Xenopus tropicalis: one gene and its partners. The protein of the gene in region 1 interacts with the protein of each later gene in a biochemical or structural test. Links are inferred from orthologs where the notes say so. Each region holds a gene or a part of one and is shown in the gene's direction. Other genes may lie near its edges.

What was found.
Region 2: the proteins of chek1 (region 1) and mcm7 form a complex in vitro, tested with the Homo sapiens proteins (2 studies listed by BioGRID, with this or other methods). The link is inferred for Xenopus tropicalis from reciprocal best matches to the Homo sapiens genes CHEK1 and MCM7.
Region 3: of the proteins of chek1 (region 1) and cdc25a, one has a biochemical effect on the other in vitro, tested with the Homo sapiens proteins (7 studies listed by BioGRID and IntAct, with this or other methods). The link is inferred for Xenopus tropicalis from reciprocal best matches to the Homo sapiens genes CHEK1 and CDC25A.

What each region holds. Positions count from the first base shown.
Region 1 is NC_030683.2:74,060,143-74,063,896, reverse strand, and holds the start of chek1 (serine/threonine-protein kinase Chk1), read left to right. Parts: upstream 1-1,214; 5' UTR 1,215-1,444; exon of another isoform or gene 1,445-1,457; intron 1,458-1,769; 5' UTR 1,770-1,785; coding exon 1,786-1,850; intron 1,851-2,012; coding exon 2,013-2,236; intron 2,237-2,734; coding exon 2,735-2,799; intron 2,800-3,754. UniProt on the Homo sapiens protein: Serine/threonine-protein kinase which is required for checkpoint-mediated cell cycle arrest and activation of DNA repair in response to the presence of DNA damage or unreplicated DNA.
Region 2 is NC_030679.2:144,214,316-144,217,969, forward strand, and holds part of mcm7 (DNA replication licensing factor mcm7), read left to right. Parts: intron 1-129; coding exon 130-294; intron 295-1,727; coding exon 1,728-1,852; intron 1,853-1,937; coding exon 1,938-2,118; intron 2,119-2,208; coding exon 2,209-2,346; intron 2,347-2,852; coding exon 2,853-3,002; intron 3,003-3,368; coding exon 3,369-3,483; intron 3,484-3,654. UniProt on the Homo sapiens protein: Acts as a component of the MCM2-7 complex (MCM complex) which is the replicative helicase essential for 'once per cell cycle' DNA replication initiation and elongation in eukaryotic cells.
Region 3 is NC_030682.2:12,727,027-12,730,680, forward strand, and holds part of cdc25a (M-phase inducer phosphatase 1), read left to right. Parts: intron 1-592; coding exon 593-655; intron 656-745; coding exon 746-844; intron 845-1,007; coding exon 1,008-1,138; intron 1,139-1,718; coding exon 1,719-1,830; intron 1,831-1,935; coding exon 1,936-2,076; 3' UTR 2,077-3,654. UniProt on the Homo sapiens protein: Tyrosine protein phosphatase which functions as a dosage-dependent inducer of mitotic progression. Directly dephosphorylates CDK1 and stimulates its kinase activity. Also dephosphorylates CDK2 in complex with cyclin-E, in vitro.

The sequences.
Region 1 (3,754 bases):
GTAACAATAATTTATACGTAAATGATTTGAAAATGTTGCATTTAAACATGTATAGGCAATTTCAATATATAAAGGATTACATTACCCTGGATAGGCCCTGTATGGGCAGTTTCCTATCATTGGTGTGGTTAGACACGTGTAAACGTGCAGTGGCCCCCAGGAGTGTTTCTTGTGGATTCGGTTCAACTGGACCTCCCTTCCTCTTTTATGGAACTGTTTTTAATGGATTTCCAAGGACATTGGATCAACACTTACGGACTTAGTATTTGGACTGTATGCTTTATTCACTTTGCACTTGTTTTTGATTATCTTATAAATTATTACCTTTTATGCTATTTTAACAAACCTAAACAAATCTATGCACATTGTGGCATTATTTATGCTAATTGCAGCACTATCACTTTAATGTTAATGTATAATGAAACATTACCATATTTAACTATAGCATTTTTTACACAAGGTATATTATATAATGACCCTTCACTTATGTTTAACTTGTTAACTTATTATACTATCACTTTAAGAAAGTTTCCTGAAATGCTGTGTGCTTGGTGGGTCATAGGTCAATTTGGCTTTAAATGAGATCACATGGTTATGGTCTTTGTACACTTGATAAAGGGTATTAACCCGAAACATGTCGTGTTACCACTACCCATAATAAATGTTTTGCAGTTAATCTGCTGGAGCTTTTTTTCCTATTTTTGGATTTTTGCAGTTGTATTTGGTTGCAGCACAGAGCAACAACTAGGAGCTAAAGCATTTTTCGTAAGTACTTTATACAAAGTTCACCAATAATTTTTCATTTTTGAACGTATTGGGTCGTATGCACTGACTGACCTGTGATCATTATATAAGCATAGAGGGTTTTACGTTTGTCTCCAGAACATAGATCTGTGTATTAAACTGTTACTGTAACTTTTTAAAGACATAAAAAACTAAACTGATGACAATATAATTTTATCCGAGCTTGCCCAAAACTTCTAGCTTTTTGGTAAGATTAAGAGAAAATACTCTGATTGGGTAAACGTTGGAACTCCGAGCACAAAATATAAACTTCTACGAAAATTGTGGGCTGAGCTGTGTGACTTTCTGGCAAGATACCAACAAGGGAGACTGGTTCTTTTTATTATTATTATTATTATTAATTATTATTATTATTCAGAATTAGGAGATACGTACACCGAAACTACGACGGATCGGCACTATCAAGGCGGCTACGTAAACGTCACTGCGCTGACGTGCAGTCGGACGCCATACTCGCGAGATTTGTGGTGTCGGGATTTGCCGTATGACTGTAGAAGCGCGCCAGGAAAATAGTTTTCTGGGAGCTGTAGGTGGCGTTCCGAAATTGCGGGCTGTGTTAGGAAACGCTGTGTAGGGGAAAGAACATGCAGGAACTGTAGCAACAGGTATCAAGAAGTCTGCAAATCAATGACAGGAGTGGGTTGGTAATCCAAGTATGTGTAGCACATCTGTCCCCCCTTAACTCCCAAAACCAACTTTCCCGGGACGAGTATTACCCGATGGCGCCTTGCGGTTATGTGTGTAATTATACAATAGTTCTTTTCAAGGATGTGTCTTTTGTGGTATGACAGTATTAGATTAAATAGAATTTGAAAAATATTCTACGTTTTGAAGCAATATTTGCCCATTTGTCCCATAATCAGAATGTTTTTTTTTTATACGCATTCATACAAACAGCTGGAAACATTGAGCTTTCCATAACCTAGTGGTTCCCCTGTTTTAAAACGTCTTTGTTGCATTGGCAGATAATAACATAAGAAAATGGCAGTTCCATTTGTTGAAGACTGGGATCTTGTCCAGACTCTTGGGGAAGGGGCATATGGAGAGTGAGTACCTGTTTTTATTTTAACATTTTATAGTTTCCTTGAATTTATCATTTTCCCCCCTTTCTGGAATTTATTATTTTATATCACATGCACACTTTCACATGAGATTAGCATAAGTTCATACATAAGCTGTAACTTTTCTTCAATTGCTGTTTATATCAGAGTGCAGCTGGCAGTAAACCGGAAAACAGAAGAAGCAGTAGCAGTGAAGATTGTGGACATGACACGTGCAGCTGATTGCCCAGAAAACATCAAAAAGGAGATTTGTATTAATAGGATGCTTAATCACACAAATATTGTAAGATTTTATGGACATCGACGGGAAGGAAACATTCAGTACCTCTTTCTGGAGTATTGTCGAGGTGGTGAGCTCTTTGATCGCATAGGTATGGAATTCGTTCTGGAATATGTAACTGAATCGAGAAGTCACTATGTGATAAATTCTGTATCCATCAATATATTGCTTTAGTTTTAAGTCATGCACAAGGGTTTACCAACAGAAATAGCTTTTGAATCTGTTGCTAAAATCTTCTCATGCCGTGCTTGAAGTTTAATAATTTCAGGCAGATTGTGTTGTGGATGTGCTCATTCATAGTTTTTACCCCTATCTTTGTTGGACTGATAACCATCTAGTTGTTAACCAGTATACGTAGTATAGTTATTTAGTTTTAAATACACAGGCCAATATTATCTGCTGACCCTTCCCAGACCACTTTGGTCACTTTTTGGCCTCTTAAACATAGTCCTGTGGGTACCAGGAGTACACCACCCTCATAGGGACAAAAAGATATAAAATGTTCATCAGAAGTGAAGTAAGAATATGTATTTAAGATTGAAGTGAGCTTGTTCATGCACAGTAACGTGTTTATTTATATTTGTTACAGAACCTGATGTTGGAATGCCTGAGCAAGATGCACAAAAATTTTTTCAGCAGCTAATTGCTGGTGTGGTGAGGCACCTTACGTTTTCTCAGCAACTACTAAAATTGAAATAATTCTGTGTGCAACTTTGTTTCCAGTACATGATGATGGCACATGTAGGGTTCATAATGCATAGAGTTGCATACAAGTTTCTACTAACAGCAATGAGAAGCACCACATAAAAGCCTTAGCAGTAGACTGTCGCCTAAAACTGAGCTTTCACATGCTGTAACACTTTGCATTTACAGCCATTCCTTGTTTCAGGTCCAAATATTGTTTAGGCCTGAATATTAAACATTCTACTTGAATATTGATTTCTTATATATGTTTACACATGTGTAAACCTTATGTGTCAGATTTCCTCTGCTGCCACAGGGAGCTGCTGCTGCTTAGATTCTGAAACAATCCAACTCATCTACTGCACAGTCCTCCATGTGTAGTAGGATGCAATCTGAAGCAATTATGCTTGTGGCTGGATGTGTATGCACTTCTACGGTTCATGCTGCACAGAGAGAACAGGGTTCAAAGCTTCTTGAACAGCTTAGGTAGGGCTGGCTGTGGTGTCCTGTTTAAAGGTGGCCACACACGTGGCGATTGGTCGCACGAAAGATCGTTCCAATCGGCCACTAACGTTCAGGGCTGAAACGGCAGATATGGAGGTAGAAACAATAGGATTTCTGCTTCCTTCTGCCGATTCAGCTCTGAAGGTAGATTTTGCTCAGGCGCCTTCTATGCGCCCGATCAAAATCTTCTAACCCACCCGATCGGCGAGTCGACCAATATCAGCAGCCTCCTGCGATATCGGTCACCTCGCCGACTTGCCATACACGCACCGAATATCCTATGAAACGAGGTTTTGTATGATATTATCGGTGCGTGTATGGCCAGCTTAAGGGGACGAAACTGGGTAATTTATCTTTACAACAGTAAGAAAAAAAAATGCATACAGTATAGATAAAAATATATATGTAATGTGTGTGTTAA
Region 2 (3,654 bases), on another chromosome or scaffold:
TGCCCCGGGGGCAGCCATTAAACCCTACTATAGTTTATGGAAATGTTGTGTATATAAGAATCTGTTAACTGTACAAAAGTCCTACAGAAAAGAATATAACCTGTACCTGACTAATCCCTATATTATCAGGCTAATATTGCTCACAGAGAGCAGGTTGCGCTGTACATCGATCTGGATGACCTGGCCGAGGAGGACCCCGAGTTAGTGGATGCAATCTGTGAAAACACAAGGAGGTACACAAACCTGTTTGCTGATGCCGTTCAGGAGCTGCTGCCCCAGTATAAAGAGCGAGAGGTGAGTTGTTCTGCCCCCAATAAGGGGTAATTATATCTTAGTTGGGATCAAGTACAGGTACTGTTTTATTATTACAGAGAAAAGGGAATCATTTAACCATGAAATAAACCCAATAGGGCTGTTCTGCCCCCAATAAGGGGTAATTATATCTTAGTTGGGATCAAGTACAGGTACTGTTTTATTATTACAGAGAAAAGGGAATCATTTAACCATTAAATAAACCCAATAGGGCTGTTCTGCCCCAATAAGGGGTAATTATATCTTAGTTGGGATCAAGTACAGGTACTGTTTTATTATTACAGAGAAAAGGGAATCATTTAACCATGAAATAAACCCAATAGGGCTGTTCTGCCCCCAATAAGGGGTAATTATATCTTAGTTGGGATCAAGTACAGGTACTGTTTTATTATTACAGAGAAAAGGGAATCATTTAACCATGAAATAAACCCAATAGGGCTGTTCTGCCCCCAATAGGGGGTAATTATATCTTAGTTGGGATCAAGTACAGGTACTGTTTTATTATTACAGAGAAAGGAAATCCTTTTTAAAATGTAAATGATTTGATTAAAATGGAGTCTATGGGAGATGGCCTTTCTGCAATTCTAACTTTCTGAATAATGGGTTTTCAGCTAAGGGGTCCGTTACCTGTACATTTGCTTTGGCTTTCTACTAGATACTATATTTCTATAGGATGTGAAGCCTGGCCAGAGTAAATAATCCACACCAATGGGATGGTGTATTTAGCCACAGACTTCACATAGTGAGGCATACAAACTACAATACAAGAAGTAACAATATGATACTGTATAACTGTAAATACTCTGATGCATTCATCTGTTAAAGGTAACATTATCCATCAACAAAGTCCTTATTTCAAATATGGAAGTCCCTATTTCTCTGCCTTCTCAGGGGGACACAGGGAACGTATGGGGGTTAAGCTCCACCCTCCAGGAGGCAGGACACTTGATTAACAAATTAAAGGGGCGTGCCCGTTGCCAGATTTACCCCTCCGCTGTACCCAATCCAATCAGTTTTTCAAGTGTCCTGCTGCCAGGAGGATGGACAGCTAGGTCCCAAGTGAGACCTAATATGAACACTTCGATCAGGGCCTATTGGGTAATGCCGGCAGCTAGCACGCCCCTTTAATTTGTTAATCAAGTGTCCTGCCTCTTGGAGGGTGGCGCTTAACCCCGTACGTTCCCTGTGTCCCCCCCTATCGACGGATTTAACAGTGAGTAACAAAAATCCTATTATATAAAGCTTTGTTCTTATTGCTCAGTTTATCAGAAACAGAAATGGAAGCCCATTCATAACTTTGTAGTCTTTCATGGGAAATCCATCCTGGTCCTAATACAGTAGTTGCAATGTGAATTAAATGCATCATTTCTGTTTTAGGGAAGAATAATCTCGGCTACTATTCTTTCCTGCTGTAGGTGGTACATAAAGATGCTTTGGATGTGTATATTGAGCACCGCTTAATGATGGAGCAGAGAGGCCGAGACCCCAGTGAGACCCGTGATCCTCACAACCAGTACCCCCCAGAGCTTATGCGCAGATTGTAAGTACCATTCACTGGCCCAGTTGGTGGTTGGTTTTAATGACATTAATAATAATCTAAAACCGCGTCCCTGTGTTCTATGCAGCGAACTGTACTTCAAAGCTCCGAGCAGCTCAAAAGCCCGCGTGGTGCGAGATGTCAAAGCCGATTCCATCGGCAAGTTGGTTACAGTTCGGGGCATAGTCACGAGGGTCACAGAAGTCAAGCCTATGATGGTGGTGGCAACGTACACATGTGACCAGTGTGGTGCCGAGACCTACCAACCGGTGAGTGTCGCTAATTTATAATTTCACTTGTAGAATTCCATTGTTTCCAACAGAGTTTGTTGATTCTCACCGGTTTGATTTTTCTTACAGATTCAATCTCCAACTTTTATGCCGCTTATAATGTGTCCCAGCAGGGAGTGTCAGACAAACCGCTCTGGGGGCAGGCTCTACTTGCAGACCCGGGGCTCTAAATTTATTAAGTTCCAAGAGCTGAAGATTCAAGAACATGTGAGTAGCTGAAATTTAAAGCAATACTGACATGGGATGGGGATAAACCCATCAGTTAATAGAGCTTCTCCAGCAGAATCCTGCATTGTAATCTGTTTTTCCCATGGGGCTAGCCATATCCTTCATTTCCCTGGGTGGCACGGTCACGTGACCTGTGCTTTGATAAACTTCACTCACACTTTACTGCTGCGCTGCAAGTTGGAGTGATATCCCCCCCCCCCTCACCCCCAGCAACCGATCAGCAGAACAATGGGAAGGGAGCAAGATAGCAGCTCCCAGTAGGTATCAGAATAGCACTCAATAGTAAGAAATCCAAGTCCGGCTTGGGACTCCTCCAGTTACATGGGAGTAGGAGAAACAATAGGTTAGCTGAAAGCAGTTCTAATGTGTAGCGCTGGCTGAAAGCTCAGACTCAGGCACACTTTACTGCTGCGCTGCAAGTTGGAGTGATGAGAGTAAATGTATACAATGCAGATATTAAGTCTTCCAACCCTCTCTCTCAATAGAGTGATCAAGTTCCAGTTGGGAACATCCCTCGCTGTATGTCTGTGTATGTACGTGGGGAGAACACGCGGCTCGCTCAGCCCGGGGACCATGTCAGTATCACTGGAGTCTTCCTGCCGATGCTAAGAACTGGCTTCCGTCAGGTGGTACAGGTAATAAACAATTTACAGTTATTACAATTCATCATTCTAGCTCAGCAGCTTCCTTATATTGCTGTGAGGTGGGATTACCCTTTAGCGGGTTTTATGTACAGGTTTCTGTGTGAGTAAATGTAAACAAGAACAGCAATTCCTATATAATATTCCTATTTTATGATCAATTTTGTACTGTGGGGAGTGCCCGGCCGCGGCTACCTAAGCATTTGTTTGAAGGACAAGTCAACCCAGAATATATTTTTTTGCCTTATAAAAAAAACTTAATTCTAAGCAATATACATTCCTTACAAACTTGTAATGGTTTTTGAGTTATAACTGTATAATTTTGGGGTTCACTGGTGATTTGTGTGGTTTTTCCTACAGGGGCTCCTTTCAGAGACGTACCTCGAATCTCACCGTTTGGTGAAAATGAACAAGACCGAGGATGATGAACTCGGAACAGAAGAGCTGAGTGAAGAGGAGCTGCGACAGATTACTGGTAAGCAGATGAGGAGTCCCTGTATGGAAGAACTGACTTCTCTAGGTTATAGACTATAGACCAGGGGTGGGCAATACGTCATTTGCGGTCCACCAGTCGATCCCCCCCCCCCCCCCAGATTTCTGTTGGACCTCGATCAAGCTGGGGATGCGGAAGTGCTGTGTGAATGCG
Region 3 (3,654 bases), on another chromosome or scaffold:
TGTGTCCAATTTGAAATTAATTGCAGTTATGGACTGTTCAGGGTTTTGAGACTGACCTTACACACAACCTACTGTTTAGGTTTAATGCAGGGTTTTATTGGTTCATAATGTTAGTGTTAGTACCTGAGCTGCTTAAAAAAAAAAAAATCCACCTTTAACTCAACCTTGGGTGTGTTGCATTCAGGTAAAGTCTGAAACAATTTGCATTTTGTCTTTTATTTTCTGTTGCTAGAGTCCACTTTACCCCAGCAGCCAGCCAGTGGTATAAACAAAAATCTTAATAAATAGGTGAGGTGGGCAGAAAAGTCAAAGTAACAACAAAACATTAGCCCCACAGGGCAATAGCTTTTTATCTAATAGGGTCCGTGACACCCCCCCCTTTTCATCTGAAAAAGGTAGAAGCAGCATATTAAAAAAACTGTAATTTAAAGAACATTTGAAGAGTTGCTAGGAATAGACCATTCTATAGGATACACAGTTAACTGAGGTTAAAGGTGAGCCACTCATTTTGGCAGGACACTGAGGTTTTTCAATTTGCCAAGCACTTCCTTTTGAGTTACATGGCTGACTTGGCTCTGTGTTGTGTTTTTAGGTCTTCCTGTTCCCGACAGTGAGCGGCAGGCACCAGGAACTAAAGTACATCACTCCTGAACTGGTGAGCTTTCCTGTACATCAGTGTTTTGCCCCCCCCCCCCCCCCCGCCCCTGCCATTTCAGTATTCTCAAATAATGTTATACTTTTGCAGATGGTTCTCATCCTAAATGGAAGATTTGACCCCTTTATTGAGCGATGCGTGATTATTGATTGTAGATACCCCTACGAGTATGAAGGAGGTCACATACAGGTAGGTTTTACTTGTACTGTTTCGTAGTTGAGAAGATGGTTCCTTTTGTGGTGATGTGATTAAGTAATGGCTGCGAAAAGTTCTGGAAATGTTGACTAAAGGCTGACAGTGGTTGTTGGTAGATGGGTATATATTAGACCACAGTGCTTTGCTTTTTCTGCAGGGAGCCATTAACCTTCACATGGAGCAGGAGGCTGAGGAATATTTCCTAAAGAATCCAGTCATGTCAAATGGTTCCAAACGAGTTATCTTAATCTTCCACTGTGAGTTCTCGTCGGAGCGGGGACCCAGAATGTGAGTAAACACAGCCCACTGAGCGCTTTCCTGTGCCCCAATTCCATCTTCAGCTGTCTAATATACTGGTGTCTGTCCTGCACCCTCTGGTGATATTGGAGAAGGGTGTATTGAGAGCAGGTATATAAGTAATGACAGCTCACTGGGTTTGGCTTTTTGTCGTCCCACACTGCTTTCCTTGGCGCATCAATCAGTGCAACGGAAAATGCTTCCAAACCCCGTGTTATACCCTAAGCACAGCTATGAGAGCAGCCACACTACTGAAGCTTTAGTACTTGGGATCCTGTGGCTAATGGCTCATGGTTCCTTTGCTAGTGTAGTTGCCCTTTAATAATTGGGTGCAAATCTAAATAGCATTTTTTTTTTAATGCACAAGAAATTTAGAAAATGAACTGCCATGCAAAGATCATGGCTGAAGCTTGAGTTAGGGGGCAGAGAAGCCCTGTATGGGTCACTTTCTCTCATTAAAGCGCCAGTAACAACACCTTTTTCTCCTAGGCTTTAATGTGGGCGACCAAGCACCCTGTGTGTTGCCATAAGTTTCAGATGCCCGGCTTATTCTTTCAAACCTCTGTTACAGGTGCAAGTTTCTACGGGAGAAAGACAGAGATAGAAATGAATATCCGCAGTTATACTACCCAGAGCTTTATATTTTACATGGTGGATATAAAGAATTCTTTCAGAAGTGCAAGGTAAGTAACATGCCAATGGGCATATGTGAGTGCTTTTTGTATGTACAGGCATAGGACCTGTTATCCAGAATCAGATTTAGAAGTCTGTTTCTCTCCCCTTACCAGACCTACTGTACGCCGCAGACCTACCGCCCCATGAACCACGAGGACTTTAAAGAAGACCTAAGAAAGTTCCGCATGAAGAGCCGGACATGGGCAGGGGAGAGAAGCAAGAGAGAACTGTACAGCCGGCTGAAGAAACTATGAGCCTCCGTGCCCGCACAGTCCTGCCTTTTCAATCACAGAGCAGCCGATAGAGCCGCGGAGATAAAACTATATCATGAAACTCATTCTCTTCTGCGCTCTTGTTCTGCTTTGTTTTCTTTGCACATGAACCTTCCTCAGGAGGTGTATCTGACACAGGCATATGTTGTGCCATATTCAGTTCTGCCTTACAGCACTCATTGCTGAGAGTTCTGGAATCTGTCTACTGCACTGTCCTATTGAATGGACATTTTTTTTTTTTTAACAATGGTTTGTTTGGGTGAGAAAAAAATGGAGTATAAAATTAATCAATGATCCCAAAGGTGCAACGTGAAGCCATAGAATGCTTGTAGCTCAGGCTTCTCTGCTACCGGATCCACCTGTTACATTCCATATCATGCATTCTCATTGGCAGAACTGGTTTCCCTGCTCAAGGCACCAAGTTGGCCAAAGTGCAGACTTCCTGCAACTTTTTTTTCTGGATTCCATTTCCGTTTCAAACTGAGAGCAAGTTCTGCCATTGGCTGGCTTTGATCTCCTCTGGGGGCATTTTAACATTTAGGTTCAATTTATCTAAATGGCCACTGCCAGTATTTATTGCTGTTTTTATGATTTTGTTTAAAAGTATTAACTCTCTTTTCTCAATTTTGAGAAGATTTTTTTTTTTTTCCTTTTTTAATCAAGGATTTGCACGACGAGAAATGTTTTATCGTTTTTGAGTTGTTTTACTATTGAATAAGTTGTGGTGATTATCAGACTGTGGTTCCCTTCACCCCAGGGCTGAATTCAGCTCACAGGTAAGGATATAGGTACTGGTCCTGCCAGAGAACTGATCAGCAAGGCTTTGTGTATTACTCAAGGGCCAGTGTTGGATAAAAGGGGCACCTGAAGTAACAGTATGGCTGAGCACCCCTCCCACAGCTGCACTCCGCCCCCTGTGTGGTCCTTCCATCAGATATTTGGGCAGGAGTGGTCCTTTAGGGGGTGCTAAAGAGCTGACCTAGACCAATTTTAATCTGTTTTTAAATGGAGTAACTGCAATGTGTAGTGTTTGTAATAACCCCTTAGTGTTAACTCTTCACCTTCGCACACTTACACATTTACATGTTAGGCTTAAAAATGAAGGTGGAGAACTTAATACCTAGAAGGGGCCAAGGTTGACGACGTGGGTTGTCATGTTTTAGGAAGTGACAGTACAGCTCCCTTCCTTACTAGGCAATTTTCACCTTGTCGACTTGCCAAATGTTCCTGGTCATGGTTGAACTTCTCGGTACTATTGACTCCTGCCGTGACTCCCTATTGAGAGTTGTAACATGGCACTGACCCAATGGCCCGTTTGGACTGCATTTTTCACGCTGATTTCCTGTTAAATTGTTAGTGCAAGGAGTGATGGTGAGAAGTCATTGTGCATTGAACACTGTAAATACACGACTATCCGTGCAAAGGTCGGGGCGGTCCAGCTGGGCTGCTTATGGAAACCTATGTATGGGTATACATGACTGTCTTGTGGTATTTTTGTTACAAGGTTTGTAATGTCCTGTAGGAAACATACTATATGTAATGCTGCTTTTTCTTCCCACT